Xenopus tropicalis: one gene and its partners. The protein of the gene in region 3 interacts with the protein of the main gene of each other region in a pairwise test. Links are inferred from orthologs where the notes say so. Each region holds a gene or a part of one and is shown on either strand. Other genes may lie near its edges.

Evidence for each region.
Region 1: the proteins of ube2k (region 3) and trim2 interact in binary tests that used the Homo sapiens proteins (3 or more experiments, as listed by UniProt). The link is inferred for Xenopus tropicalis from reciprocal best matches to the Homo sapiens genes UBE2K and TRIM2.
Region 2: the proteins of ube2k (region 3) and rnf5 interact in binary tests that used the Homo sapiens proteins (3 or more experiments, as listed by UniProt). The link is inferred for Xenopus tropicalis from reciprocal best matches to the Homo sapiens genes UBE2K and RNF5.

What each region holds. Positions count from the first base shown.
Region 1 is NC_030677.2:55,160,263-55,170,393, reverse strand, and holds the start of trim2 (tripartite motif-containing protein 2), read left to right. Parts: upstream 1-5,335; 5' UTR 5,336-5,629; intron 5,630-10,131. UniProt on the Homo sapiens protein: UBE2D1-dependent E3 ubiquitin-protein ligase that mediates the ubiquitination of NEFL and of phosphorylated BCL2L11. Plays a neuroprotective function. May play a role in neuronal rapid ischemic tolerance.
Region 2 is NC_030684.2:73,544,586-73,554,716, reverse strand, and holds the start of rnf5 (E3 ubiquitin-protein ligase RNF5), read left to right. Parts: upstream 1-4,701; 5' UTR 4,702-4,714; coding exon 4,715-4,815; intron 4,816-6,436; coding exon 6,437-6,455; intron 6,456-9,066; coding exon 9,067-9,179; intron 9,180-9,762; coding exon 9,763-9,823; intron 9,824-10,131. Other genes in the region: agpat1 (1-acyl-sn-glycerol-3-phosphate acyltransferase alpha), read right to left, coding at 12-66, 4,372-4,474. UniProt on the Homo sapiens protein: Membrane-bound E3 ubiquitin-protein ligase that mediates ubiquitination of target proteins. May function together with E2 ubiquitin-conjugating enzymes UBE2D1/UBCH5A and UBE2D2/UBC4.
Region 3 is NC_030677.2:36,216,482-36,226,612, forward strand, and holds the start of ube2k (ubiquitin-conjugating enzyme E2 K), read left to right. Parts: upstream 1-5,595; 5' UTR 5,596-5,706; coding exon 5,707-5,769; intron 5,770-10,131. UniProt on the Homo sapiens protein: Accepts ubiquitin from the E1 complex and catalyzes its covalent attachment to other proteins. In vitro, in the presence or in the absence of BRCA1-BARD1 E3 ubiquitin-protein ligase complex, catalyzes the synthesis of 'Lys-48'-linked polyubiquitin chains.

The DNA of each region.
Region 1 (10,131 bases), about 19 Mb from region 3:
TCATTTTCCTTTGATGATCTGCACTGAATGCTAAAAAAGATACAAATTTAATTAAAAAGTAGCTTTTAACAGAGAGCCCAGAAAGTTAATAAGCTTCACCTGCACTTAGATACATTGTTTCTCACAATTAAATAAGTGGGCTTTTGGCAAAGAGCCCAGAAAGTTAAAAATCCCACACCTGCACTGAGATACAATTGTAACTAATAAGCTAAACATGTCTCTTGGGGGGAACTGAGACTTAAAGCTTAAAGAATTAGTAAACCTTTTTTCTATTAATAAAATTACTCTAAACAGCTTCCCAGAATTGCCTACCTTTGTCCCTCTGTTCTTTCTGACCTGGTTCCTCAGTTACAAGCTAACCCATTCCTCTCCTTCCTTGTTCAGAGTGAAGCTCTGCCCCACTTCCTGGTTAGGTCTCTCATCAAGAAAAAAAACCTGCTAATGCACAGACTGGCTCCTGCTGCCTCCAGGCATGCGCAGAAGGCTCTCCAATTCGACTACAGGTAGTTGATGTAATGAGAGACCTGAACAGGAAGTGGGGAGCTTCATTCTGAACAAGGAAGGAGAGGAATCGATCCGCTTGTAACTGAGGAACCAGGTCAGAAAGAACAGAGGGACAAAGGTAGGCAATTCTGGGATGCTGGTTAGAGTAATTTTATTAATAGAAAAAAAGGTTTACTTATTCTTTAAAGGGCAGTTTCACCTTTTTCAGCAAAACTGTAATAACACATAAAACAGGACCCCAAAACCCTCAGAAATGTGTTCAAACTTTAAATAACCTGCCAAATTTAGTCAAATGGGAGTGGTATTTAGGGGGTGTGGCCGCGAAAATGGGCATGGTCAAAAAAATTTGCTGCACAGCATTTATTTTTGTCCCTCTTTCCATTTTCAAAATGTTGGGAGGTTTGATATTGGTATAATGTACTGTATAGTAGGTATGGATGATGTTTGTGAGTAAGAGTGGGGAGGCACACAACATCAGAAAAAGTAACCACAATTCATAAATAAACTTAGATATACCTTGTGCTCTATCATATAATTCCTACATACCACCAAAATGTATTACTTAAATACTAAAGCGTGGCTGGTCAACCTACTTATAAATTAAAACAACAAAATACAATTATCCATAAATAAAGGTCTCAGATTGCTCATTCTACCCAGTACCTACATCAAAAATAAATGCATGAGGGATGTCAAAACTGCAGTCCTCTTGTTTGGATTGTAGTTCTAGCTGAAGACTTTGGGGGTATAATGGGAATTGTAGTTTAGTATTCCCCCAGGCCAGTCTGTATGTATTTATCTGACAGATTGGCCTGGGGGAGTGCAGTCTGAATCTAGTCATTGTTTAGGCCATTTTTTTCATAAATGTTCAGTTTATAGGACTGATAACACCAAACTCTTAAAGAGTTTTATATACAGTTAAATAGTATGTATTGTCACTGTACACTGGTAAAAATAGTGTGTTTCCTTCATCAAAACAATTACTACATTTATGTAAATTGGCTATGGCCTACCCATGTGGCAGCCAATCAAGCTGAAACAGGGCTCTAGGGCATATGTCCCCCCTGCCTCTGCCGCAAAATAAGTATTAATGCAGACTTTTTAACATTGTATTTATTTCTGTAAATCTTGCGCTCAAAGGTGGCAATCGGCTGTGATTTTTTTTGCTATAAATCACCAAGTGAACAGATTGTTGCATTGCGTTAAAAGGATCAGGCAGTAAGTGGGTCATTAATGAATAAGTAATGAAAGAATTCTGTTTTTTTTATGAATTTAGCTATTAAATTAAATGCACAGATGACCAGATGTTATGCTTTTCTATGTGCTTTTTTTTATTTATTTTTTTGTCATTACTGTATTGGATAAAAAAAAAAATCTAAACTGTATTGCTGCTTATGCCAGTTTGACATATGTGGTTGCCCATGTGGTTTTGTACGTTGTTATTATATGTAGACAACTAATATTTTACCATGCCTCTATACCATGGCCAAGGATGCAGAGATCGGCAATAGTTAAAAGGGGACCTGTCACCCTAAGAAATAATTTCAAACTCTTAAGTCAAGCATAATAAACTTCACTTACACTATATAAATGATTTAAATCTTGTTTCCTCCATTCTTGGAGTTACACAACTACAGCAAGCAGGCAGGAGCCATTTTGTTAGTAAGGCAAGCTGTGCCAGAATGGGGGACCTGATGCCAATGCTTGCTACACAATAAGACAGTAAGGAGGGAGGGGGAAAGTGATTGGCTGCCCCACCTCTATACCTAAGGCATTTAGGCAGGGCAGGCAATATATGATTAATAGCTGGGATTTTTAAATGCCTCTATAATGGGTATGGATATGTTAATAAGAAAAGGAATTTGGGTTTCATGTTTAATTTGAACAGGACTTTTATTATACAGATTTTATTTCTGGGTGACAGGTCCCCTTTAAGTGGCTTTCAAGATTGTGGCTGTGATTTTTGGCGTGATGGTAATTCAAAATGATGTGCTTCAGAAGGGGTTCTGGGGACTAATGTAATTAAATACAGAACAAATGTACTCATTACACACTAAAGGAGCAGGGGGCTGGACTCAAGCAAGAGGTCATATTAGCCCGTGTTCTTGTATGCAGAGTGTGAGAGTGGTATGAGCACTCTGGAGAGGAAAGCAGGTCAAATATAGTGTGTTCCCCCTCATAAGTCAGTCAGCCTTGAAAATGGTATGATGTTAATTTTTAAGTTGTCTTTTCCTTTGTTAGTGGTTTTTGCAGAAGGGAGAATGTGATCAGTGACCGCTGTCCAGGTACAGGTATGGGACCCCTCATCTGGAAACCTGTTATCCAGAAAGATCCGAATTACAGAAACGCCGTCTCCCATAGACTCAATTATAAACTAAAATAACTCTAATTTTTTAAAACGATTTCCTTTTTCTCTGTAATAATAAAACAGTACCTTTTACTTGATCCCAACTAAGATAAAATTAATCATTAGAGGCAACACAAACGTATTGGGTTTATTTAATATTAAAATGATTTTTAGCAGACTTAAGTTATGGAGATCCAAATTACAGAAAGACCCCTTATCTGGAAACCCCCAGGTCCTGAGCATTCTGGATAACAGGTCCTATACCTGTACCTCAGGTGTGATGGAGGCATGCATATGTAATAACCATTCACAAAATAAATACATACAGATGTTAACTGAGATAGGGGGGCAGTATACCCCCTTTTTCAACATGAGTTGAACGAATAGTGTTTAACATACTCTTGCCTCTCTTTAGGAAATTTTTTTTTTATTTCTTGCACTAAAAAGACCTAACAGGCTTCAGCTTAGCTAATGGGGGACTGTTGATTTATTTTAATTGTGCTCCTCCATATCTGAAGTGAAATGTGACAGTGCTCTTCAATATAAAACATAAAATATAAAACATTTTCAAAAGGTTTGAAAATGTTTTTCCCGTTAATTAAATAGTCTATTACAATAAAAACTACACATCTTCAGAATAAAGGGCAATATACAAATTTAGCAATATACAGAGGACATTTATCTCCAAAATTAAGGCACGTTTTTTTATAAAGACTAAAGCTGGCCACATATGTGGCGATTTTCAAATTTTCATGCGACCATCAGTCACACGAAAGATTGTTCCAACCCCCCACTGACGTTCAGGGATGAATTGTCAGATATGGAGGTAGAAACAATAGGATTTCTACCTCCTTCTGTCGAATCAGCCCTCGAGGCAGATTTTACAATCTTTTAACCCGCCCGATCAGCGAGTCGACCGATATCAGCAGCCTTCTGTGATATCGGTCGGCTTGCCAAGTTGCCATAAACGCACCGAATATCGTACGAAACAAGGTTTCATATGATATTATCATTGTGTGTATGGCCAGCTTAAGTGTAAACCTTGGAAGATGTTTCCCTTCATTTTGTAGACTTTGAGATTAGCTTATTTGTTTATTTTCCCTATACTTTATGGAATTTGGCAACTCAGTAAGTAAACTGTTTTTGTTCTAATTCACAAGGGCAGGGTGGTGTTTTCTTTTTAATGTGAGTTTGCTCTTTATTTAAAATTTTAACCTGTTAATTGCAAGCAATATAAAAAAATATACTTAATGCTTTAATTAGAAAATATGCATTAAGGATGTCGTATTGGCCCAAGGGGCCGTGGCCCCCATGCCTAGAATTCTTGCACCAGTTCCTTGAAAAAAGGGGATATACTGCCCCTTTAAAGACCTCAGCAACCTGCTGAAACTAGACAATGTACTACTATAATCTCAAGGATGCTTATACAAAGCCATATGAATGTGCATCTCTTGAAATACATGCTGAATGTATCAACATATATTTCATGGTTTTTTTTTTGCTGCAAATAAATGGGTACTCCTGGGTGCATATAATCAAATGTCGAACATGTGAAAAATCATGTCTTAAGCGCCTATAGACCTACTATACCCTTTTAACAGATTGTTAAGCTGTCTGCTCTGTATAAGGTTATGAACTTGTTAGACCATTCTAATCTAACTGGGTCTTTGTTGTGTTTACAGCTGCATTACTCATTTGAACCTAACAAACATTAAAATTAAAACAATTGCACAAAATAAGCTAATGATAGATCTTATTTAAATTTCTTCTTAATTACTTAATAATCAGAAATATGTTGGCGTCTTTACTCAAACAGCACATTTACTAGGTCACTGCTAACTACATGCTTTTTAAATGTTCATTAGTATATTGTATATCGCTCTGCATTTATATCGCTTCATAAATAAATCTGTCTCTTATAGTGGTGCATGCCACAAATCTGTAGCAGGTGGCCAGCAGAAAAGGCTACTGTCCTGTATAACAAAGATTTTTTTTTTTTTAATTCTGGCATAAAATGGTCTTTGCTAAAGATTATAAAGGGACAGATTTTCATGTTGTTCTGGAATAAAATGTGTATCAATTTTACCAAGCCCTTTTTTTATTATTATCTGGCATTTTTGGCTGAGCTGAACATTTCCCACTTATCTTTTCCCCCTTTCACAGAAATTCATGTAGCTATTGTCCCTTGACTCAGCGTATTATGCTACTCATGTAGGAGCCTGAGAAACACCCCTCCAGCCTTTACACCAGCCCAGTCATTCCTCAAACTGCTGACTGATGCTGTGAGGGTGAGAGAGAAAAAAAGAAAAGACAAATCCCTTTGCAGCTTGCTGCTGCATCCCCATCCCACAATGCTTTGCCTCTTTTGCTGCAGTCTTTCAGTTCCAGCTTCCCAGAGAAAAGCCATGCACTAAATAAAGATTGATAGGTTTGAATTCTATCGAGGGACTCTAAAATAATCAATGACCCAGAATTCTGTTCCGGGTTTTTCACCTCTGTAGCTGATGAGAGAGCTGCAGCTGCCTATCTTTTTTTCTGCTACGTTTTCCCTGTGCGTCACTGCTGTACCAGGAATCAAGCATCAGCCACTGATACACGGCTGTTTGAGAATGGCTTTCACATGGAGGACTGCTTGCCCTGCCTCTCCCTGCAGTGTGCCTGGAAATCTTTACTAGCAAGGATGATGCTTTTCCCTGTGGGATTTTCTGTCTCTCGTTGCTACAATAGAATTTCAGCCCAGTATTTTTGCTGACTACATGGAATTGCCAACGACAATGGGTATGTATGCCGTGAATCAGGTGAGGCTGTGGTTTTGGCTGGTGTTATGAATTGGCATATGCACCTGCTAGGTTTCTCCTAATAATAGCGGGTTGCTTGGGGGTGAAGCAGCTGTGTGTTCTTGGGTAACAATACAGAATGGGTCCTCTTGTTCAGCCATGAGTGCGATTATTGTGTTTATTGTGGCCACTGCTGTTCCAAAAAGGTTGCAATTAAATGGTTAAATGTCCTTTATTTTTCATCTGAAAAAGAGAAACAAAAAAAGAAACCGATTCCCTTCCCACCCACTAAAACATCAGCTTTGTACTTGGCTGTGCTGGGATGTAATCACATTAGAAGCCTCTCCCATCACTGTCCATTATGAGATGAATGGAGATAGACGGCCCCTGGACTCAGCTGCTACATAGCTCTGTGATGTGCCTGGGTGGGGAGCAGATGGCAAGGCAAGCATTACTAGCTCTTGGCAGCCATGGCACATTCTATAATAACCTGGTGGGATTCCTTTGGGCACAGCATTTCTTACGTTATATTACATAACATTTTTTGTTGTATCAGCTGATGGATGCGTTTGGTTATAAGAGAAGCAGCCTGCACAGATTGAATGTTTCATGGGAAACCTGTCAAATCTGTGTGTAACTGAATAGCATGCGGTTTATCCGGTTCAGTTACTACTAAGAATGATTCCTCTTTTGAGTTACATGGTGTGAGTATTAAGGATGCACCAACTTTGTCATTTTTTGATTCGACCAAATGCTTCATGAAAGATACTACCAAATACCAAATCGAATCAGAATCCTTAAGGAATTGTATAATTCTTTTTTTTAACAAAAAAAAGTGATGAGCTTTAAAAGCTCTATATATTCTGGGGCAAGTTTATTGTTATTATTATTTATGATTAGTGTATGTCATGGAAGGGTTAACTTTCCATTAACCACCCTAAATTATATGGCAGAGGAAGGTAATGAGCCCTATCTATACTACCAGTATATAAATATTTGCCTGTTACGCCAAGGGCTGTATATGCCAACTAACCCATGATGCAGAAATATTTGCTTTGTTAATCCATGCTGTCATTGATGTCAGCAAAAACATTTTATTTTAAGAGTAAATTAATGGGGGAAGCTAGTATATTTTTGTTTAATAAAGTAGGAGACAGGGATAAAATGTGTATTTATCCTTGCATAACTCCTATCTGCTTAATTCCAGTGGAAAAAAAAAAAAATCATGACTGAGTTTTGCTTTCTGCCACTAATCCTGATAGTTCCAGTCACAGCAGGACATATCAGGCTTATTCTCTGAGTGACAGTAAAATAGGTACCGTATCCATAAATTTAGAGTTGTCCGGAACAGCATTATATTTCTATAACTGCTGTAAATTGCAAACAACTGAAAGAAATAGACATTATTTGTGTATATATGGTTTATATTTAGCCCTTTAATAAACCAGCTTGTACCTCCCATAGATATGTAACAGATGGACATGTTACTTTAGTAAAGTAGATTGCTTTTATCCCTCATCTGATTTTTGAGCGAACCTTGGCTTTTTTCTCCAACGTGGGTGTATTACAGCAAAAGCAATTTAACAGAATTGGTTTGAGACTTTTTTGTTATGAACTAAAAGATTAAAGATAAAACCTGCTTGGACCATTATGAGTGAAATTCTCATTGATGGGGAAATATTAGTTTTAGTTATAAACACAACTGTAAATTATATATTTGTAACTTAAGACATAAAGATCTGACCCTTAATGTAAACATTGGTTGATGGTATTGCCTCCTTGCCTCGAATACCCGACCCTAAAAATGTTCATGTTACTAATGCCACCTTGGCCCCTGCATGTGAGAATAATGAGACAATAATGTGACAAATGAGTAGATCATTTCTATTTGGCCATGATTTGGATAATATAATGTTTGCTTCACATATTGCATTTGTGTATCGCTCTGTTACTCAGTACTCTGGGAATTCAAAATTTAAAACGGTTATACTGATTTCACGAAATCCAAATATATTTCAGCCAGTCTTACCTTTTCCTGGTGATAATGCTCTTTGTACTAGTCTGGGTCCTAAAACAATAGATTCTTGACATCCCTACCAACTACATTGTACTAGTAATGTTAGTTGCCATGCTTCTAGCCTCACTAGTAACAGTCTCCTTGAAGGAGAAGGAAAGGGTTAAAAGTGCGACCCCATAACTAGAAAGGCCTCAGGTCCCTGTAGCTGATTGCTACCTTATTTTTACCTCGATAGCCTGTATATTGCCTGCACTCTCCGACTTTCATAAACACTATATTTCGCCTATTGCGGCCGCCATGTTGGATATTTAAATTAGTCCTACGTGGCGCCGCGTAAGGAAATGCGCATGCACAAATCTTCTCCCTCCCCCTAGACGCAAGCGTGACCTACTCTACCCTGCTTGTGTAATTCAAAGCGTGTTCACAGCATACTGTATGTTAAATGCGCATGCGCTTACTGAGTAGCTGGTCTGGGTCTCAGTACAGCAGCGAGGCATTACGTGAACTTTCTTTACACAGCTCAGCGTTTTTTCTTCCTGTTTGGCTTCTGATCATCTGAACAGGCAAAATATGGGGAGACTTAAGGGCACTATTGAGATAACTGAAGGTATGCCTGCAGCTTGAGATTAAGTCTTTACTAGCCTTTCCTTCTCCTTTAATTAAATATCACCCATAGGGTGAAGACACATGGAGCTACAAGAAGCAGCTGCTTGTCACGTTTACTAAAAGCCAGAAAATACTCTGCCATAGACAATACTGAGAATTGCCTCTGCTTAAGCTCATGTAGAGATAATTATCTGTAAATTATCAGCATTGATAATTTACTGCTAATTGTCTACGTGTGTTTTAGCAGAAGCAATTCTCTGTGTCTACGGCAGGGTATTTTCTGGTATTTAGTAGCCATGACGAGTAGCTGCTACTAAGTAGCTCTGTCTGTCTTCGCACATAGAGGCCACAAATAGATAGTAATGTATTGAAGCTCATGAAGCAGCAATATAACTGCACCATTCCTGAATTTAGACGCATATGTGAAGAGAAGGAGATTTATTGGAAAACCTGTATATCTGAAATGTATAAATTCTGCTGCTACTATTGTAGGTACTGTAGTAAGTTAGCTATTTCTGGGTTTGGCTGTTCTGTATTTCAGAATGCTAAAGGCTTTTGTTAAAATGTATGTAGCCCATTGACTGTCTTCTTTAAGGGCATACTTTAATTATTTTGTGTGTGTAACATGATTTGAAGAGCTTTCCTTAAATGATCAGAGCCAGTTTCTCTAAACTAGACTCCATTATACTGTGACTAATCGGGCACAGAAATTCCTTCCTTCCAGAACTGAATACAAAGAGAGCAAGTGCATTGCTGAGAATGCAAAAGAAAAGCCTATTTGATTCTGGGTCCTAGCCTGTGCATTAGTCTCTGAATTAACTCCTTATCACTCCTTAGTATTCAGACACTTTGTTTTAAGGTACTAAATATACCCTGTCGAAAATTAGGCTTAGTTATAGGGGTTTTTATATTGTATTGTCAAAACATTCTTGCAGTTCTGTTCAGCTGCTTGTTTAAAAATAGGAGAAGAATATGAGAAGGATGAGAGTGTAAAAGGGATGCAGAAGGGGAAGGTAAATACGTAAGGAAACCGTGTCAGAGAAGTGGATGAGAAGAAAACAGTGAGAATTTGGGAGAGTGGATACATTTGTGAAGAGAGAGGGTAAAAATGAGAGGGTAGAGAGAAGGGGGGAAATTATGAGAACTATAAAGCTTACCAGGAAAAGGTTGAGCAGATTGACTAGTGGATAAAACAAATAAAAAAATGGGGTGGGTGGGAGCAGAGTCGGACTGGCCCACCAGGATACCAGGAAAACTCCCAGTGGGAGTGCTTCTAACTATTTAGTCTATTTCATGGTCATTCCCTATTTCTGTATGGGAGCAAGGTAGATTAAGAGATGAAAGAATAGAGTATAGTATGTAGAGAAAAGAGACTAGGATAATAAAGAGTTTGAGGGAGGAGAAATCTAAAGTTTTGAGAGTAGGCCCATGGTCCAGCGTTTTCTGGTGGGCCCCTGCCATCTCAGTCTGACACTGGGTCGGAGAGACAATTGAAGAGAATTATAGAAATAGAAGAAAATATGGGAACATTGAAGCAACATGGGGGGGAAAAGGAGTAGAAACCTAGCAAAAAATTAAGAAAAACAAGGGAAGAAAAGAAAAAGTAGAAGAAAGAACAAAAGGAGTGAAGTAGATGTATTGAACAACAAAATTAAATTATAAGTACCATAAGTATATCTATGTTGATGTAGGTCTGTGCCCTGGGTTGTCTATCAGTGCCCCAGGTGACAGTTTACAGATGGAAGGAGAACAGTTTGATCACATTAGAAATGTAATCACTCTAATCTAATCCACTGGCTTGGTACAGCAGAGATAGGCAGGGTAAATGCATGTGGCTAACATTTTATACATTGTGTATGGTTTGTTTTTTTTTTCACTTT
Region 2 (10,131 bases), on a different chromosome or scaffold from region 3:
CCATGACTCACCTGCACAGAGGTCTATCTGTCAGTCTCCTGTCTTTCTGTAATATTTCAGCAGAGCCTAGGATGGGAGAGAGAGAATTGGAGAGATGGAAGCAACTCCTGACACATTGTATCCAGCACACTCCTCCTACAGAAGAATGGATGTATGTGATTTCACTGGCAGGGAATGAAAACCCTGTCACTGTGTGACACACACACTCCTCCTTCTGCACCTGGCTTCCCCTTCCTCTCTGTCCGCTCACTTCCTCCTCCCCCCTCCTCTGGTACACACAATCCCCTCCTCTTTCACACTCTCACTTATTCGGCTTTGCCTTCAGTGCATTATCCCACCCTCTGCCAGTTTTCTTTCTTTTACCCACTGTTATTTTCCCTTTATTTCCTCACTTTCCTTACAGAGGATTCTAACATATTTTGCCTCTCCTCATCATTGCTCCCATATACATTCCGTTCCAGTTCAAATTTCTTCCCCATCTAGGCATACTTAATTCTTAAAAGTACAGGCAAATTATATATTTTGTTCCCTGCATACCAAATCCCTGAACTCCCCTAGTTTCACATTATTCACCCCATCCTTTGCTTCACCCTTTTCCACTTAACTCTGTATAGCCTTTCATCTGTTTTCTATAACTACCTCTAGATTTCTGCCCTCCTCCTCTCCATCACATTCACTTCCTCTGTGGTGCTGATGTAACCACACTACCCAAATCTAGATAGTAATAATTAACACAGTGCTAAATGATAGGAGAAGGGATCTGTCAGTCACACCTCAGCCCCCCCCCCCCCTTCCCCAAGACTAAGTACTATGGAGTTGAGGTTCAATAGAAGATTTTACAATAATCTACGCAATAGAAAAAGGCAATAAACTAAGCAACAGAGAAGCCAGCTGGAAGGGGTTACAGGCGGATCAGACTGACTGGTGCAGGGGAACAGATAAAAGGGGTGGCAAAAGTTTAAAACAGATTATAAGAAAAACACAAACAGAACATACCATAAAAAAAATACAAAAATGAAATACAAAGGGCAGTACTGATGAATGAGAAGAGCTTCTGTAGATAAAAATAACCAAGACACAATAGAAAAAAAAACCAAAGAGGACATAGGAACAAATACAGAGACAGTGATAAAGGAAAGTAGAGAAATAGAGTAGGGACGGGTGGGGAGACAAATAAGGGAGAAAGGGGAGGGAAGAACAGGAAGAGGGATAACGTTTCAGAGGAGAGCTTCAGGACCGGTTAGGCAAAACACAGTATGGGAAGGGGGGATGGCACATAGAACAATTAAAAGCAAGAATCCAGTTTGCTGATGAGGGGGAAAACAGAGGAAGCTGTAAGATGCCCACTTCAATCTGCAGATATAGAGGGAGAACATAATAGGAAAGGAGGAGCTACAGCAATGCATGGTGGGCTTTGTAGTTTTAAATCCGGACTATGCAGTGCATTCTGGCTACTGTAGTCTTTGGTTCTCTTGTTCTGGTCTAAACTAAATCTCTTCTATTAAAGGAACAGTAACACTAAAAAATAAAAATGTTTTAATATAATTAAAATATATTGTACTGTTGCCCTGCACTGGTAAAAGTTGTGTGTTTGCTTCACAAAGACTACTGTAGTTAATAGAAATAGCTGTTGTGTAGCCATGGGGGCAGCCATTTAAATTGAAAAAAGGAGAAAAGGCACAGGTTACATAAGAAGATAACAGATAACTGTGTAGAATACAATGGGAATCTATGCTACTTATCTGTTATCTACTTAGTAACCTGTGCCTTTTCTCCTTTTTTCAATTTAAATGGCTGCCCCCATGGCTACACAGCCAGGGTATTTATATAAACTGTAGTAGTGTTTATGAAGCAAAAACACACTTTTACCAGTGCAGGGCAATAGTACATAATATATTAATTATTTTTATACACTTTCATTTTTTGGTGTTACTGTTCCTTTAAATGCCCAATGTCCTTCTGTTACAGTGAATTTCTCTGCATCTTTTTCATGTATAAGTTTATTTTTAGATATTTCTTATTCTGACTTTCAGCAGTGCTTTCCGTTTCTTGCACCCTGCTGCTCGGTGTCCTTTATGGGTGTATACAGTAAGACTTTTTAACCTCTATGGTTCTGAATTTTGCAAAGTGACAGGGGAAAATAAGCACTATGCTGTGGCTCAGGGGTTAGAACTATTGCCCTGCAGCACTTGGATTTTTCTGAAGAAAGCACTGTTAAAGTAGCTTGTAGTTCTTCCTTTTTCTGTGTGGGTGTCCTCCCACATTCTAAACACAGTCAAGCAGGTTATCTGACACCTATAATTTAACTTTAGGTGTGAAATTAAAGGGGTCTTAAGGCTACTGTCACAGGCATTGTTTTCTCTGCCAGGCAGAAAAATGCTGGTAGAGAAAATCCCTATTTGCCCCCCTATTATTTACGGTCAGTCAGAAAATGTACATAACACTGGGAAGTATAGAGCCAAAATTTTATTTTTTCCCACCTGCAGAAAAAATATGGCATTTGACAGTAGCCTGTATAGTGATATAGAGTCTATGAAAACCTCTGTATAAAGGTGTTGGCACTATATAAATAAAGGATAATAAAAAAAAAAAATAATCTGATCCCAGCAGGTTGATCAGCACATAGCCAGAACTCTGTCCAACTACATAGAGTTTTTAACACCTTGATGAGGCCAAAGGCCATTTCAGTTCTCACCCAGAATTTGTATCATTTGTTCAGCAGCACAAACTACCATAATGCTTTTTGCCAAGTGTATCGCCTTATCTTAATTAATTATATAATTAGTAACACAACACTTTAAGGGTAATGGTAGACAAGATTATTTGAGAGCCACATTTTAATGCCATGTTGTGACAGAGCTTGTCAAATTATCACTTGATAAACTTGTTGCTTTTTCAGACAACCACTGCCTGACAAGAGCGCGCAAAATTCAGACAATTTCAATGCCAGTCTATGAGTTGTAGTTTTAAGGCACTATGATGCAGCATTTTTGTCTATTTAAAAACAAAGTGCACAGAGCCTGACCCTTGTACCACTACACTAAAAGCAATAGCATGTTTTTCTGCACTGCTTTTTTAAGCAATCCATAACTGTGGCAACAGATAGCCTAAGGTCACCCACCACTTGCCGTACTCTGTAATGCTTGACACATGCTTGCAGTAGAGCCATTCAGTCATTAAATATAAATTGGTGGGTGTCAATACCTGACTTTGGGGCTGCATTTTTGACCTGCTTCTAAATGTGGCACTCCTATAAGGTCCAGACTGGAATTCAAAATATGTATGGGAATTTAAACTACAGAGACGCCCAAACTGCTCCCAGAAAGCCCAATAGATAACGATGGTCTGTCACCTTGCAGCAGCTCTTCTGCCATTTGCCAGAATCCACAGATTGCCAGTCCTGGCCTGACTCTAAGTGCCACTACCCTAAAGGTGACCATACATGTTAAGATCCGCTCGCTTGGTGAGGTCGCCCGTTGTTCCTGCCCCTACACGGGCCGATAAGCTGCCGAATTGGTCTAAGGGACCGATATCGGCAGCTACAACCGGCCCGTGTATGGCCACCTTAAGAGTTGTTTCTGTATGGTTTCATTATACAGGAACCACTTATCTTCAGATTCTAAGTAACAAAAAATGTATTTATTACAGTAATACAGTAACCTTACTAAAGGAAAACACATGCATTTATTGTATCTATAGTTATTAAAACAAAAAACTGTCATCTACAAAATTATAGGAACTAAATATATGGCATTTTGTCCTGCATTCTTACTACTATTACTTACATTTAAAATATCTTAATCAGGGTTTATCAAACTTGTTCTCAGGGAACTAAGATTTAGCCTGGAAGTCAGGCTTGGTGTTGCTTCAAGAACTGGTTTAGAATAAATAATAATATATAAATTTGAATCAGTACTGCCTTTAGTAGGAAGAAAATTCACTAAAGGAAAAAACATAGAAAACCACCTCCCCCCACCAAAAAAAACCAGTCATCGATTTTGTTTTCCGACCTACAGTCTGAACGATGCTAAATATAACCAACAGAATCTTCCGTTTACAAAGTAAAAGCTATAAATATAATATAGGGCTGGGTGGAAGTATGTGTGTGTACTTAAGCGTTAATAGCACAGATACAAAGTTTGCTTGCAGATTTTGCCGGTGACAGGCCTCTAAACACATCACTTATGAAACTATCGCATAATATTGCACAAGTTTCAATAAAATATATTGTTATCCGGTAGTTTATAAAATACGTATCACTGCTGGTAACTCTACTCGAATAATTTTACCATAACAGTCTTCACCTCCGATTACAAATAAGGATTGTTCATTATTGCCTTCTTTTAACAAGGAATAAAGTTTTTAACCTACAACAAAAAAAAACCCTGTGGGCCCGGAACGTGTATTCCACTCCCGCACGAACGCAAGACGCCGCGTCATAACGGTTATCCGAGACAAGAGGTGTCGTCAGCATTTGAGTGACGGGAGTTACAACCAATCGATGTCACGTATTATCCTAGTATCACCAATCAGCATTTTGACTGCTTGACAGCTAACTAGAAAGTGCATAGCCAATAGGGGTGCATAATTGTGATGGAGAACTTGTCCACCCTATCACACACAAGATTTGTTTATCTTTGCGTCCAATACACTCTTTAACCTTTCCCGTGACGCTCCGCTAGTTGCACAGCTAGGTTCCGGTTGATCGGTTGCCATGGCGGCGGCTGCTGGCAGCCCCGGTGCGGCTTATGAGTGTAATATCTGCTTGGAGACAGCGCGGGAACCTGTTGTCAGCGTGTGTGGGCATTTGTACTGGTGAGTGGAATGTGATGTGTCTGCCCTGTAGGCAGGTCTCTGCTAAGCTTGTTAATTCTGCTTTGCTGAGACTGTGTCCTTCAGTGGGTATGTATTTAGTTTGCTGTAGGAATGCATTGTTAGGGGGTTCGGCTACGGTCAGAAAGCTATCAGTAAAGTACAAGACCGAAATATTCAGGAAAGCTTCACCCCAACTGAAACTGTTCCCCTATAAAGGACTCAAAGCATTGGATGAGGGGAAAGAATGAGGCCCAGAGTACTAGTTGGAATGTGTTGAATGCTCTTAGAACCATATCATGTGACCTGTAGCTACAGCATGTTAAAGGGTAACTAAAATGCAATATAAGTTGCATGTCATGAAAAACAAACCTTCTAAACGTATTAAAATTTGCCTCCATACAAAAACTATTTTTTTGCAATGAAAAAAGGAAAATTGTCTGCAATGATTTAAAAAAATAAAATAAAATAAAATAAAAATGGAGACCTTACTGTTACATTGTTTCAATGTTTTCTGTTTTTTTTTTTTTCTTGAAGCAGGAGTCTGATTATGATTGACAATCATGTTTAATACAGCTATTGGGTGGGGCTCCCATTGCCTGCCATAGAAGATGTATTTGAGTTAATTCTTTCATAAAAGCAGACTTAAGCACAAATAATTCATGTAGAGGATCAAGATTGTGTGCGAGTTGGTTATTTTGAAAGAGTGATTTCCTTTAGGCAATTGGAATGCATCCCCAATGATGAATTAGTCCTCACTGACTACTCCATGAACAAAAAAAACAGACTGAAGAGTAACTTAAATATTAAAGAAATAGTACAAAATATATTTTTTGACCAATCATATTTTCTTAAGATAAAGCTGATTTTTATTTTTGCATCAGTTCCCCTTTGACATTTTGTAATCTTGTTATAAGCAAATTTTAACAGGTTCTCTTGATGTATTTTCACTGTACCCTGCAATCTTCTATGTTTAACCCAATCTTACAGTGAATATATTAATCCTTTCACTTATTGAGCCCCTTTGATCCACGCCATGATTTGTGTTGTTGGATTAAACTGAAACCCTGGAACTGCAGATTCTACATTGCTGGTACATATGTGCCTGTGCCCTGTAGATGCTTGAAATTAAAGGTGACAATTAGAGGATCCTTTGATGCTTGTTCTAGAAAATCAATGTCTTCATAATTCTACAATTGAATTATAAACTAGGCTATATCTGCAAGCACAGCCATTTTAAGCACAAATATTCCAATAGAACCTGTAAGCACAGCTGGTACAATATTGTTTTTTGTCTTAGCCAAAGAAAGTGCATTTTGCTTTACATATTTCATTATATCATTAAAACTCACTTGGCTTAAGCCAGAAAACGCAAAGTATGTTCAGATTCATATGTTTAAAATGAATATTTTTTCACAAACGACCGCAAGGCTAAACAGATAATGTGTCCAAAGTATAAACACTGATTTGTTAGTGTAAACAGATTTTGTTTATATGTATTGTATGGAAGAGACGCTTGTAAAATGCCACTGCTTGTAGTTTCTGTATGTGTGTTTATATAACAACGCTGATCGTTAAAACTGCATTGTGTTCTGTATTCTGATGTTATGTTTGTGTTTTACAGCTGGCCTTGTCTGCATCAGGTATGTATTTATTAATAAAAAAGTAGAATGAGTTAAATTCTTCTTTAGCTTTGTAGCAGCAGCAGCTAGCAGTGCTAACGGTTTCATTCAGATCACATGTTCAGTGTTACAGAAATATTTATTTGTAATAAAAGCATAACATAGATAAACTACTGTAGTATACATGAAGGGTATTTTATTTGTTTGTAGTAGTTCAAACCGTTTGCATATTGACTGCAACCTGTTCATATAGTGAAAAGTATGTATGTATGTATGTATATCTTAATTTATAAAGCGCTACTTATGTATGCAGCGCTGTACAGTACAATACATTAATACAAACAGGGGATTATTAAATAATAGATAAATACAAAGTACAACAATAAATACAGATAGATACAAGATAAATACAGTTGCAATAAGTTAAGAGTCAAAGACACAAGAAGATGGAGGTCCCCGTAGAGCTTACAATCTATATGGGAGGGTAACTTACAGACACAAATAGGCAAATGCACTATAAGTGCTGTAGGTCACAGTGGGTGACACTACAATATAAGTGCTGATTCCCAGATCAGGTGCTGGGTGAGTGCTCCAAAAGGTAGTCTTTAAGTTTAATTTTAAAAAGACTGGGGGAGGATTCTCTTCGGAGGAAATCAGGGAGGGCATTCCAAATGTAAGGGGCAGCAAGGCAGAAAAGTTTAAGGCGGGAAACAGCAGTAGTAGTGGGGGGCGCAACCAAACGATCGCTCTGTGAGGAACGAAGGAGTCGGCCAGGAACATACAGAGACACAAGGGAAGAGATGTAGTGAGGAGCAGAGGAATGGAGGGCTTTGAAGGTTAAAGGAACAGTAACACCAAAAAATGAAAGAGCTTTAAAGTAATAAAAATATAATGCACTGTTGCCCTGCACTGGTAAAACTGGTGTGTTTGCTACAGTAACACTACTATAATTTATATAATAAGCTGCTGTGTAGCCATGGGGGGCAGCCATTCAAGCTGGAGAAAAGGCACAGGTTACATAGCAGATAACAGATAAGCTCTGTGGAATACAATAGTGTTTTATCTGTTATCTGCTATGTGCCTGTGCCTTTTCTCCTTTGAATGGCTACCTCCATGGCTACATAGCAACTTATTTATATAAATTATAGTAGACTTTCTGAAGTAAACACACAACTTTTACCAGTGCAGGGCAACAGCACATTATATTTTAGTTACTTTTATACACTTTGATTTTTTGGTGTTACTGTTCCTTTAAGAGAAGGAGTTTGTAAGATATTCTTTGTTTAACAGGAAGCCACGATAAGGACTTTAGCAGGGGAAGGGCCTGAACTCTCCTGGATGAGAGGAGGAGAATTCTGGCAGCAGTATTTAATATAGACTGTAGGGGGGAGAGATTGGAGTTAGGGAGGCCGGTTAGTAGCAGGTTACAGTAGTCAAATGAAAAGTGAAATAAAACACTTGCCCCACAGGAAGCAAAGGCTTGTGTATCTTTTAGGGCTCTGGTACACGGGGAGATTAGTCGCCCGCGACAAAACTCCCTGCTCGCGGGCGACTAATCTCCCCGAGTTGCCTTCCCCCTGCCATCCCACCGGCGTACGTGTAAGTCGCCGGCGGGATGGCAGACGCGGCAGCGCGATTTCGCACAAATCGGCGAAAAAGACTCGCGAGGCTTTTTCTGCGATTTTCCCCGTGTACCAGAGCCCTTATAGGTATTACCAGCTTCTAAACTTCCTGTGGCTTTCCTTACATTACAATTGGTGTTCTAAATGATCAGAACAGAGGGGAAGCCTTTAATCATATGACTTATTTAAACTTAAAAAAAACTGATTGACCCAGAGCCTTCATCCTGCTTAACAGTTTGTTAAAAAGACAATACGTTTGAAAACAGCTGTCACTCTCTATCTCCATATATTTGCCATTGTGAATCCAAAGCCAGGTTCAGCTTTTAATAAGGTATGGAGCAGTTCATGTAGAAGAGCTTTTATTAACTGTGGTGTATCATGTTTATGTTTAGACAAATCAAATTTGTCTAAATCTGCTGCAGAGTCTTGGTGCACTTAGCTTATGTAATGGGAAAGTAACCCTGCCATTGGTAATATCTGCGTCAGGGTTCAACACATTAGTAAGAAGGTGTTCTTCTGTGGTTGGGGGGAGCTGGGATGAACCTAGGAAATGAACAATTAGTAATGACATGATTCACATAGTCATGGTGACACATTCCTGAAAACTGAAAGGTTTTACTGTATATTCAAAATGCCCACTTGATGTTGGTTGAGAGGAAAAGTGATAAAGAATAGGGTAAACAGGACCTGCAGAGAAGGAAATTCAGAAATTCAAAACAGAAGTTAGAGAGAGAAAGAAAAGATGGTAAGAAAAGATAGTAATAGGGCTGGATGAGTTGCAGTGCTCTCACAGTAGAGAAAAATTAGTTGGGGTTTCATTTTAACCCTTGTCAGAAGTAATAACTTCTTAGTGATTTATGTTTAATATGTCTTTTTTTATGAATGATCAAAAGTAATGTTAGCTAATAAAAATGTTCATTAAACAGACATTGCAGTCAGTTTTTGTTAATGTGTCACATACTGCAATATAATTATTGGCCCAAAACTAAGACTTATTTTGTTGTTACTAGTGGTTGGAGACCCGACCGGATCGCCAAGAATGCCCTGTTTGTAAGGCCGGTATAAGCAGAGAGAAGGTTATTCCTATTTACGGCAGAGGAGACAGTAACCAGAAGGACCCAAGGTAGCAAATATGTTATAAGGCTATAAAATTATATGGATGAGGCCCATAAGGAATTTTGTTTGCAGTGATCAGATGAAGTGCTCTGCCTATGATTGCTAACAACAGAAAGCACCACCAGTAATTTTTAGCTATAGTGTAGCTTTTAGTCAGTGGGAAGCAGTCATGGCATTTGTGTTGGTATACTAGAAATTTGGTCAAACAGCAGGCCTGTCAGCAGGTAATTGTGCATACAGAACTTCTCACAAAGGACCAGCATCATATATAGAAGGACTAAACCAATATTTACTATAACTTACTATAGTAAATGTTTTATTATTTCCTATAATATTTCCATGTTTCTCAATTTTGAAGCATTGAGAGAGATATGTAAATAGACAATTTTATTAATTAAATAATAGGCGTTGGCAGAATGAGCGTGAATTGTTTAGTATATTGTATGATTCTGAGTGCCCCCACATACCATAGGAAGCACACCTACAACTAAATATTTGTATATTTTTATATAAATGCACACCTATGTATGATATATGTAAGCCCATGTTTATTCTTTTGATTTCTTACTTTTCTTTCCTGTCTTTGAAAGATTGAAGACTCCTCCCAGACCACAGGGACAGAGACCAGAGCCAGAGAACAGAGCAGGAGGAGTATGTTTTTTATATGAGTTGTACAGGGTGGGCCATTTATATGGATACACCTTAACATAATGGGAATGGATTCCCATTATGTTAAGTATCCATATAAATGGCCCACCCTGTATATTTCAGTTATAAAATGTTTTCAGGATTGTGACTTCAGCCACCGTTTGTGAATAACTAGTTGCTCTTGCACTCGCTCTGGCTTCTTAAAGTCTGAAGTCTTAGGGGGCAGCAACTATTGTGGGAACTCTAAAACTAATCCTGTTGCTGGAAATGAAAATCCAGAAGGACTGTGACCCAGGAATGCAGCATGATAC
Region 3 (10,131 bases):
CCCATAGGGCTCAATGGCACTCTGCAGCTCCAACCCGGCCCAAGGAAAATCTCCCATAGGGCTCAATGGCACTCTGCAGCTCCAACCCGGCCCAAGGAAAGTCTCCCATAGGACTCAATGGCACTCTGCAGCTCCAACCTGGCCCAAGGAAAGTCTCCCATAGGGCTCAATGGCACTCTGCAGCTCCAACCTGGCCCAAGGAAAGTCTCCCATAGGGCTCAATGGCACTCTGCAGCTCCAACCTGGCCCAAGGAAAGTCACGATACTTAAGCTTGAATGAATCCGAAACTTTCGTACTCGGCACGACGGCTACGAAAAAGTCGCTACAATTTACGAGCAAGTAGTAATGGCTACGAAAAAGTTGCGACAATTTACGAGCAAGTCGTAATGGCTACGAAAAAGTCGCGACAATTTACAACCAAATCGTAATGGCTACGAAAAAGTTGTGACAATTTACGAAAAAAATCGCAAAATACCGATCATTAAGAAAAAAATGCATTCGGACGCTTCTCGATTGGGCAGGTTAGAAAATCTAGTCAGATCGGGGACCGCATCGGCTCTTTGATGCGGTCCCCGGACCAACTTTACCTATGCCCGTCATTATAATTCGATCATTTGGCCCTATCGAATTACCCTGGATTCTCCCGATATCGCCCACCCGTAGGTGGGGGATATTGGGAGAAGATCCGCTCGCTTCGCGATCTGCCAGTGTATGGGGACCTTTACATATAATGCAATGTCAGCCACTACAACTTTTGTCTGTAATTTACCCACCCACCTGCCAAGGAGAAGTTTGACAGGAGTGTATTAGAGAGTGCCATGGAGAAGTACTACAGGAGTGCATTAGAGACTGCCATGAAGAGGGACTACAGGAGTGCATTACAGACTGCTATGAAGAGGTAAAACGGGAGTGTACTAGAGATTGCCATGGAGAAGACTACAGGAGTGTATTCGAGACTGTTGTGAAGAGGTACAACAGGAGTGTATTAGTTTGACAGGGGTGTTTTAGAGACTGCCATGGAGGGGTACTGTGCTGTAAATTAAATAAGCAAATTAGGTTTCACATCTGGTTCTGTATTTAGTTTAAACTTTTATAAAGTATCCCATTTAATCTAATAATTAATAATTAATTTGTTGCATCCCTAACAGAAAAATTATGCAGCTTTTCTCAGTGTGGTGTTTACTAAATTTACTAAAAATGCAATACTAATTTTGCCATATTTGTGCTTTGTTTTTATGCTAAAGACACAAATAGTTTTTCTCTACCAGTGCATTTTCGCCATGGAGATACAAACCCTCTGCCTCTTGTCATTGACCTAAGCTCATGACAGGACGTTTTTGACACAGAAATGCACAGTTTAGTGTTTTCTATTCATGTCAGGCATAATGGGTGGGGGGGGGGTTCTGTCAGCACTACATGCAACATCAGCCTTAAAATTTAATTTCAGAATAATTTAGATAGCTATGTTTTTCTCCTATAGTTTCTAAACCATATGTCTTTTAATTTAGCATTTCTCTACCTTACATTTTTGGTTGTTGGGGGCGTGAGCATAACTGACCCTGTTGAGTAGAACACAGCATAATCCAGAAACTAAATTTTGATTTAGTTGATTTATTTTTTTAAACCAAACATCAAGGGTATTTGCGACCCAAGAAACCAGATAAAAGTTTAAATTCAAACTAGAAAATTGTAGAACAAAAGGTTAAATATTTACCACAAAGACTAAAAAAAGACCAATTGTTAACTTCTTCAACTATCATACTAAAAGTAACTTCCAAGGTGGACTATTTCTTCAGGCAAGCAATTCATAGTATACTGGTCGCTAGCACACAGATTCGTGAATTTCAACTCTTTGGTCTTTGCACTTCCAGATACACACAGTTACTCAATTTTTAAGCAACTTCCCAGTGTGAGCTAACTTAACTTCCATCTGCAATCTATTCTAAATGCAGCAATTAGTACATATTGACAAAACTTTTTGATTAATAATAGCATCAAGGCTTCTGTACTATCATTGGAGGAATGGTCCTAATGGCTCCACCACATGATCTTTATATTGTGGTGACTGATAAAAGGCCTGGCTCTGTACTGACCAATTACTCAGTGTGTCTGCAGTTTATGTGTGGACTGAGATTCACATCTTACAGTAGCTACTCTTGGCATTTTCCAGAATATAAAGATTTTCAGTCTGGGCCTGCCACGTCTTTACAAAAAGGAGCTGCTTGTGCATGAATATAAGGGGCTACAGTGTGCCAGCAAGTCACCCACAAAGCAGTGTGGTACAATGCATTTTGTCTCTTAAGGGCTCTGGCACACGGGGAGTTTCCTACCCCTGCCATCCCACCGGCGAACATGTAAGTCGCCGGTGGGATAGCAGGGGTAGGCAACTCAGGGAGATTAGTCGCCCGCGAACAGGGAGTTTTGCCGCGGGCAACTAATCTCCCCATGTGCCAGAGCCCTAAATGTAAGTCACCGGTGGCATGGCACACGCGGCGGGAATTTCGGGAAATCGCGGAAAAAGACGATTTGCGTGAAATCGCGCCGCCGCGTGTGCCATGCCACCGGCGACTTACATTTAGGGCTCTGGCACATGGGGAGATTAGTCGCCCGCGGCAAAACTCCCTGTTCGCGGGCCAGAGCCCTAAATGTATAAAATCTGTGTAACAGAACCAGTGACTTGTAAAATTTCTTAAAAAATGAATTATGGAAAAAAAACTAGATTCAAATATATAATAGCGTAAATCGCTAGATTATTCAAGCTACGCCATACCTAACTAACTGTCCCGATTTTCGCGGGTCAGTTCCTCTTTTGACAGCTCAACCCGCAGTCCCAGATTCTTACTGAGGGCTGATGCCACAGTGAGCGTATGGCGTATATTTTCGGAAAACCGAAAACCGCTTGCCGAAAATTCCGCCATACGCCCCTACCTGTGCCTACACCCGAATGAATGAAATACGCTCGGGTGCAGGCACATGTAGCCGATATCTGCTGAAGATACAAAGTCTTGCGTTTTTTGGCGGATATCGCCTACATGTGCCTGCACCCGAGCATATTTCATTCATTTGGGTGCAGGCACAGGTAGGGTAAATGTAGAGTAGCTGGGCATAGTCTCGGCAAGCCTGTCTGGAATCAGGCGAAAAGTCCCTTATTTCCCTTTGATCTCCTGCACTGAAGCTAAAAAAGATACAAATTTAATTAAAAGTAGTTTTTTGAGAGCCCAGAAATCTTAACAAGCGTCACCTGCACTTAGAAACATTGTTTTATTAATTTAATAAGTGGGCTTTTGGCAGAGAGCCCAGAAAGGTAAAAAGCCCCCCCTGCACTGAGATACAATTGTAACTAATAAGCTAAACAGGTCTCTTAGGGGAACTGAGACTTGCAGCTTAAAGGGCAATATCACTTTTTTTTAACAAAACTGTAATAACACATAAAACAGGACCCCAAACCCCCCAGAAATGTGTTCAAACTTTAAATAACCTGCCAAATTTACTCAAATCGGAGTGGTATTTAGGGGATGTGGTCGCAAAAAAATGGGCATGTCCAACAAAATTCGCCACACTGCGTACGGCATTTATTTTTGTCCCTCTTTCCATTTTCAAAATGTTGGGAGGTATGCTACACAATTATTACGCATTCGGGTGCTTTCAATCCGTTCGTGGATTAGTAAATCGGCCCCAATGACTCAGTTGGGGGTTATGGATTTTAACTGAGAATTACCTTACGAAAACGATAAATATGATTAATTAGGTGATATGGCTGTTCACATGATCTTTTATCCTAACAATAATTAAAATACATTGTTAAGATCTAACAGACTCTCTCAATCAATTAAATACAAGATCTTTTTTGCATCATATCAAAATCACCCTAAAATTAAAAGTATAAATGCTCATGGACGATAGGCTCCTCGGTACATTATGTTATGGAAATTTCAGATACCGAAAGTTGTTTGAGGTGGTTCTGTCTTAAAGGCCATAGTTGACATAACTAAGGCTAGCTTGAGAACCGAATCCATCCGAATCAGGGGTGCCTTTGGGTGAATCTGCACAAACAGAATTTATTCTTTATCAATTAAAATATACCAATCAAATATTTATAGTACTGATAAAAACAGTATATGTAAGACACTTATAAATTTACAAGTAAGTACAGAACATAATGATTGAAGAAAGGCTTCTCTAAAGCCACTCTTGCGCCCTTTAGTGCTCTTGCACTTTGTCCCCTGGGGTCAAGAATGACCGCTATGGTATCATAAAGACTTTATGTCACATAATCAGTCCCAAGTCTCTAAAGCATTTGAAAATACCTTTTAAATTAAGAATGGTGGCTTTTAATTTTCCGCCAAAATTAAGCCATAATGACACATTGTAAAAGGTGTTACTATTTAAAGGTAATTTCTTTTGGGATGAGCAGCACCCCTTTAAGCCAGAAAATTAACTGAACTATGGATATACAGATATAGAATTCAAATCGAGGCACAAGGTATCTCTGGTGGTGCATTTATTTTAAGTAACTGGCACCACCCAAGGTATTAGCCTTTCCTTGTCCTTTAATAACTGTAGTGGCATGTATCATTTAACTGGCTGGCCTTTGCTATATTATCCAGATAGCATCTCTGCTTAGGAAAATGCACACAACCAGTGGCATGAATAGATGTCACTTGTCCCAAAAGAATTCAATTTAGGGGCCCAAATCGTTGGTAAATTGACCTATCCTATCAAGATATAGTAAAACTGCTCACTATTCAGGGCCGTGACATACAGGGAGATTAGAGCTGCCATGACAAATCTCTGTTGTTGCGGGCGACTAATCTCCCCGCAATGCCATCCCACCGGCTACAATGTAAATCAGCGGTAGGATGGCATACGCAGCGCCGCCATTTGCCAAAGTCGCCTTGAGAGGAAATGTCGGTGACTTCGGCATATCGCAGTGCCGTGTATGCCACGGGATGGCATTTGTTGTGGTGCAACTAATCTCCCTATGTGTCATGGCCCTTACTGGGCCCTCTACACTCCAGGGCCCCCCTGCAACCACATGGTCTGCCTCCTTTGTAGTTATGCCCCTGCTTTATTTTTTTTCTAGATAACAGATGTAGGTCATGACCAGTCATAGGACTTTTGAAAAGGAAGAGAACAAAAAGTTCCCATACAGCAGACTAAGCAGGAACTTCTGGATTTCCAATACGAGTCAGGTGACTAATGCATGTTGTGGCATATCTATTTTGCTGAGACAAATGCTTACTAGGGGCAGGTAGTCAGCCCATCCTCTAATAAGAATTGCATAGCTCTGGCAGGCTACGACCTTTGGTTTCATAGAAATCTGCTGCTAAAGCCAAACTTTACAACACTGCACGACTCTTCTGTTTAGCGCTGGGGTCCAGTGACACATCACGTGACTGAGCCCTGCATGAATGGAGCCCGGGGATTCTGTGGCGCGCTGTTACGTCTCATTTGTGGGGCGGGCCAAAGTGACGTGAGCAGGGACCCTGTCAGGAAGTTCTTCCTGTGGGCCGCCCAGACTCTTGTATTGCGCATGTGTCAGGTTCGCCATTTTGCAGTGTACTGTTGTGCTAGGTTTCGTTGTGCGGGGCGGGGGAGGCAGAGCACACAGGGCCGGCACTGCACGGAGGGAGGAAGCCTGGCGTACTTAACGTGCACTGCAGCAATTTAAGGTGACTCAGTCAAGTACGGAAACTGGGGCAATTATGGCGAACATCGCAGCACAGAGGATCAAAAGGGAGTTCAAGGAGGTGCTCAAAAGCGAAGAGGTGAGAGGAGACAGAAGTGCGTCTGGCTATATACAATGAGGGGCAACAATTGGTGACAGTGTGCTTAAGATAAATCCAGTAAACTGCTCTAAAGAGGTAGTATAGAAGGCTGCCACAGCCAGGCATGCCATGGGGAGGGACTATTGGAGTGTATTAGAGACTGATAGGGAGAGGGACTACTTGACTGTATTAGAGACTGCCTTGGAGAGGGACTGCAGAAGTGTATTAGAGACTGCCTTGGAGAGGGACTGCAGAAGTGTATTAGAGACTGCCTTGGAGAGGGACTGCAGAAGTGTATTAGAGACTGCCTTGGAGAGGGACTGCAGAAGTGTATTAGAGACTGCCTTGGAGACGGACTGCAGAAGTGTATTAGGGACTGCCTTGGAGAGGGACTGCAGAAGTGTATTAGAGACTGCCTTGGAGAGGGACTGCAGAAGTGTATTAGAGACTGCCTTGGAGACGGACTGCAGAAGTGTATTAGGGACTGCCTTGGAGAGGGACTGCAGAAGTGTATTAGAGACTGCCTTGGAGACGGACTGCAGAAGTGTATTAGGGACTGCCTTGGAGAGGGACTGCAGAAGTGTATTAGGGACTGCCTTGGAGAGGGACTGCAGAAGTGTATTAGGGACTGCCTTGGAGAGGGACTGCAGAAGTGTATTAGGGACTGCCTTGGAGAGGGACTGCAGAAGTGTATTAGGGACTGCCTTGGAGACGGACTGCAGAAGTGTATTAGGGACTGCCTTGGAGACGGACTGCAGAAGTGTATTAGGGACTGCCTTGGAGAGGGACTGCAGAAGTGTATTAGAGACTGCTTTGGAGGAGAATTACAGAAGTGTATTAGAGACTGCCGTGGAAAGGTACTATAGGAGTGAATTGGAAACTGCCATCAAGAGACTACAGGATTGTGTAGAGACTGCCATGGAAAGGGACTGCAGAAGAGACTACAAGATAGTGGTGTGGGGGTCAGGAAAAAGTCAACCTGCAACTGACCGTATCCCACAAATTGTTGCCGATATAGGATTTGCATTTAAAACACGTACTTGCGTCTTTCTACATTGTTTGCTGCTCTCGCCTTAGGTTCCAAGGAAGGGAAAGTTCAGGAGCAGAGGTGCTTCCCTAGTCTGACCCACACCCAACCTGAACCCACAACACCCCCCAACCCTAACCTGCCTGACCTAAGGGTAAAATGCAGGTTGTGGGTCAACCCGCTCATCACTACTACAAAAGTATGTTAGAGATTGATAGGGATAGGTTTGACATGAGTGTATCACGGGCTGCCATGGAGTTTTTTTTATGGGAGTGTATTAGGGACTGCCTTGGAACGATTTGACAGGAGTTTATTAGAGACTGCCATAGAGTGGGGCTGCAGAAGTGTTTAGAGTCATGTAGAAGGTACTAAAGGATTGTATTAGAGACATGGAAAAGTAGGACAGTTGTGTAGAAAAGACTGCAGTTCCCTCTGGCTCTCCCTTCCAACTTTTTCTCTCCTTATTAATGGCCCTTGAAATCCATTCAGTGAAACTTCAGAAATGAAATCAAAGGGGGATATTTATCAAAGTATTAAACTACAGCTTGCCATAGTCAGCCACAGTGAAATTTCCCTCATTATATTAATTTCTATTCAATTAGTGAAAACATATTTATCAAAGTGTAAACTCATTTATATGTATTGATAAATATACCCTCTAAAGTTTCATATTAATGTATAAAGAGTAGCAGAATTTCACTCTTGCAGACTATGATGACTTCTAGATTCAATCTTTGGTAAATATGTGGCTTCTGGTCATAATCACTGGGTAACTCTGTGAAACAGTGGAGTGCAAATTTGTTAACTGTAACTTTCTCGTGTGCGCTAGATCAAAGGCTGGCATTGCCGCATATCCTCCTGCCACTTTATGGAGAAACTTTCATTTGAGACAGCGTGCTGCCCATTCATTGAGAAGCTGCATCTAAAAATTGTTGCAGTTACAAATTAGGATTAGTAATATCGCTCACCATATTAAGAAATACACATTTTCTAATGTTATAAAGTAATTGCTTATTTCTTCTTTGTCCTCCATTTATTTTAGGTTAAGCAAGGGCCACAAAAGATTTTTAGAAAGTATCATAACATGCAGCACTACACCCCGTTTGTCTTCACTTAGCTTAAGCTGCAGTGTTCACCAGAGGTTTTTAGTGGTCATTTCTGCAATTTTACTTTCTCCATGAGCAGCAGAAGCTCCTAGCCCTGGACATAGGGCTAATGTATTTGATCTGCCAGATGGGTCAGTAGCCTGCTGACTCAATCAAGAATCGCAGCCAGTATTTGCCCTATGTATGGACACCTTAAATTCTGAACCTTTTATTAGGCTGAACCTGGTGCAGCTAGTTGGATTAGAATGCACATAATATCTCAGTGATACTAAGTGATATTTAGTAATACACATTGCTTTTTTTTTTGACGAGGGTCTGCTCAAGTTGTGCAAATAGATAAGTCCAGCTATGGCTACAAGCAGCCACAAAAGCTGTCTTGACTTCTTAGTAGAAAAATATATCCCCTTATTTTATTTTCATTTTCTTTATTGTTGGTGTATTTATTGGAATTTGGTAAATTATTAAAAGGGGAATAACACTCTAAAGTAATTTTATTTATTTTTTAACTCTTTATTTATATTTTTTATCAGGTTATGCAGATAGTCGCAATTCTGTGGATTGGTTAGTTAGGAAATAAAGAAAGAGGGGGGAATTTATTTATTTCTAAGTAAAGTGTAAGTCCCTCTTTATTACATACCCTCCTACAGGCATTCACCATATGTTTAAGGAGAACTGAAGCTCAACAATGAGTTAGACTGGAAATGATACATCTTATATTTTGTATTTCATTTCTGCTGAATCATAGCACATGCTTTGGGCTGCTGTCTGTTACCTGAGTTTAAGAAACAACTCGCAATATTCTGTATATTTAAAATTTACAGATAATTAGTAATTCTTATTCACATTATGTGGCTGGATAGAAACCAGTGCGTTCTGCAGCAGAATTGATTTGATAGATGTAGTATAAGTATCTATGACGGATGTTAAATATCTTTCTACTAATAGTTTGGCAACTCCTTATTGTAGCTTCTCAACAGAAGCTTAAAGCACACTGAGCATGTACAGTGTCGTTGACACTCAAAACGCTGGCTAACAATATAAAAAGATTTGAGAGCCCAAAGATTATAGTTGAATCTCTAAGTTGGTAAAGGCCTTAACTTCAAAGTTAGTTTAATGTAGGAATATATTTATACATTCCCATAGTATAGAGTATAGCTAGGCCTGTATAGCCAAGTTTGTGTGCCTATGCCCTGGGAGTCATTTAGAAGGGCTGATCTCTCTCAAATTTAAATTATCTGTGATGGCCATATTATCTTGGTTTTACCAAGCAATGGCTTTTTTTATGGAGCATCTCTGGTGTAGGAATGAATAATTGTTTTACACAGGCAGAGCTATAAAAATGTTTGTTTTTAGATCACAGATGTTTGTTTAAGATATACCCTTAGTGATTGGATGGTTGCCGGTGAGCTGCTGATTTATGGGTAGCTGCAATGACCTGCCTGGTGCTTAGTAATGCAAGGTGTGTCACATGGAATATGGTAAGATGGAGACTAGATAAACTGTGAGACGTCTGCACTTTCATTCCAGATAAGCTGGAAAATACCTCCTTATCACTCCCTTAAAGGAATTAACTCATGGGAGTAAATAACCCTTCTCCAGCAGAATCCTGCATTGAAATCTGTTTTTCAAAAGCATAAACAGATTTTCTTTTTTTATATTTAATTTTGAAATTTCACATGGGGCTAGCCATATTCTTCATTTCCCAGGGTGCCACAGCCATGTGACCTGTGCTCTGATAAACTTCATTCACACTTTACTGCTGTGCTGCAGGTTGGAGTGTTATCACCCCCCTCCCAGCAGCAACAATGGGAAGGGAGCATAGCAGTTCCCAATAGATATCAGAAAATCACAGTAAGAAATCCAAGTCCAGCTTGGGACTGATCCAGTTACATAGGAGTAGGAGAAACAATAGGTTACCTGAAAGCAGGTCTAATGTGTAGTGCTGGCTCCTTCTGAAAGCTCAGACTCAGGCACAATGCACTAAGGCTCCCCTAATTTCCCTGACAAGCTCTGTGCATTTGGCAGCATACAGTGGCGGTTACTACTTTTCCCTATGATGTTTATATTGGTTAACGGAGAGTTAGTGCTAAGTTTACAGTTAGGCTGTTTTCTTTGTAACAGAGGGATCTCCTTAGCTGGTAAACTGTATGCCCCCCTCACTTCTCTCCCATAATGCCTTGCTAATCCCACTGTCAGGTCTGCACTAGCTTTCCCCCCTTGCTTAGTTTA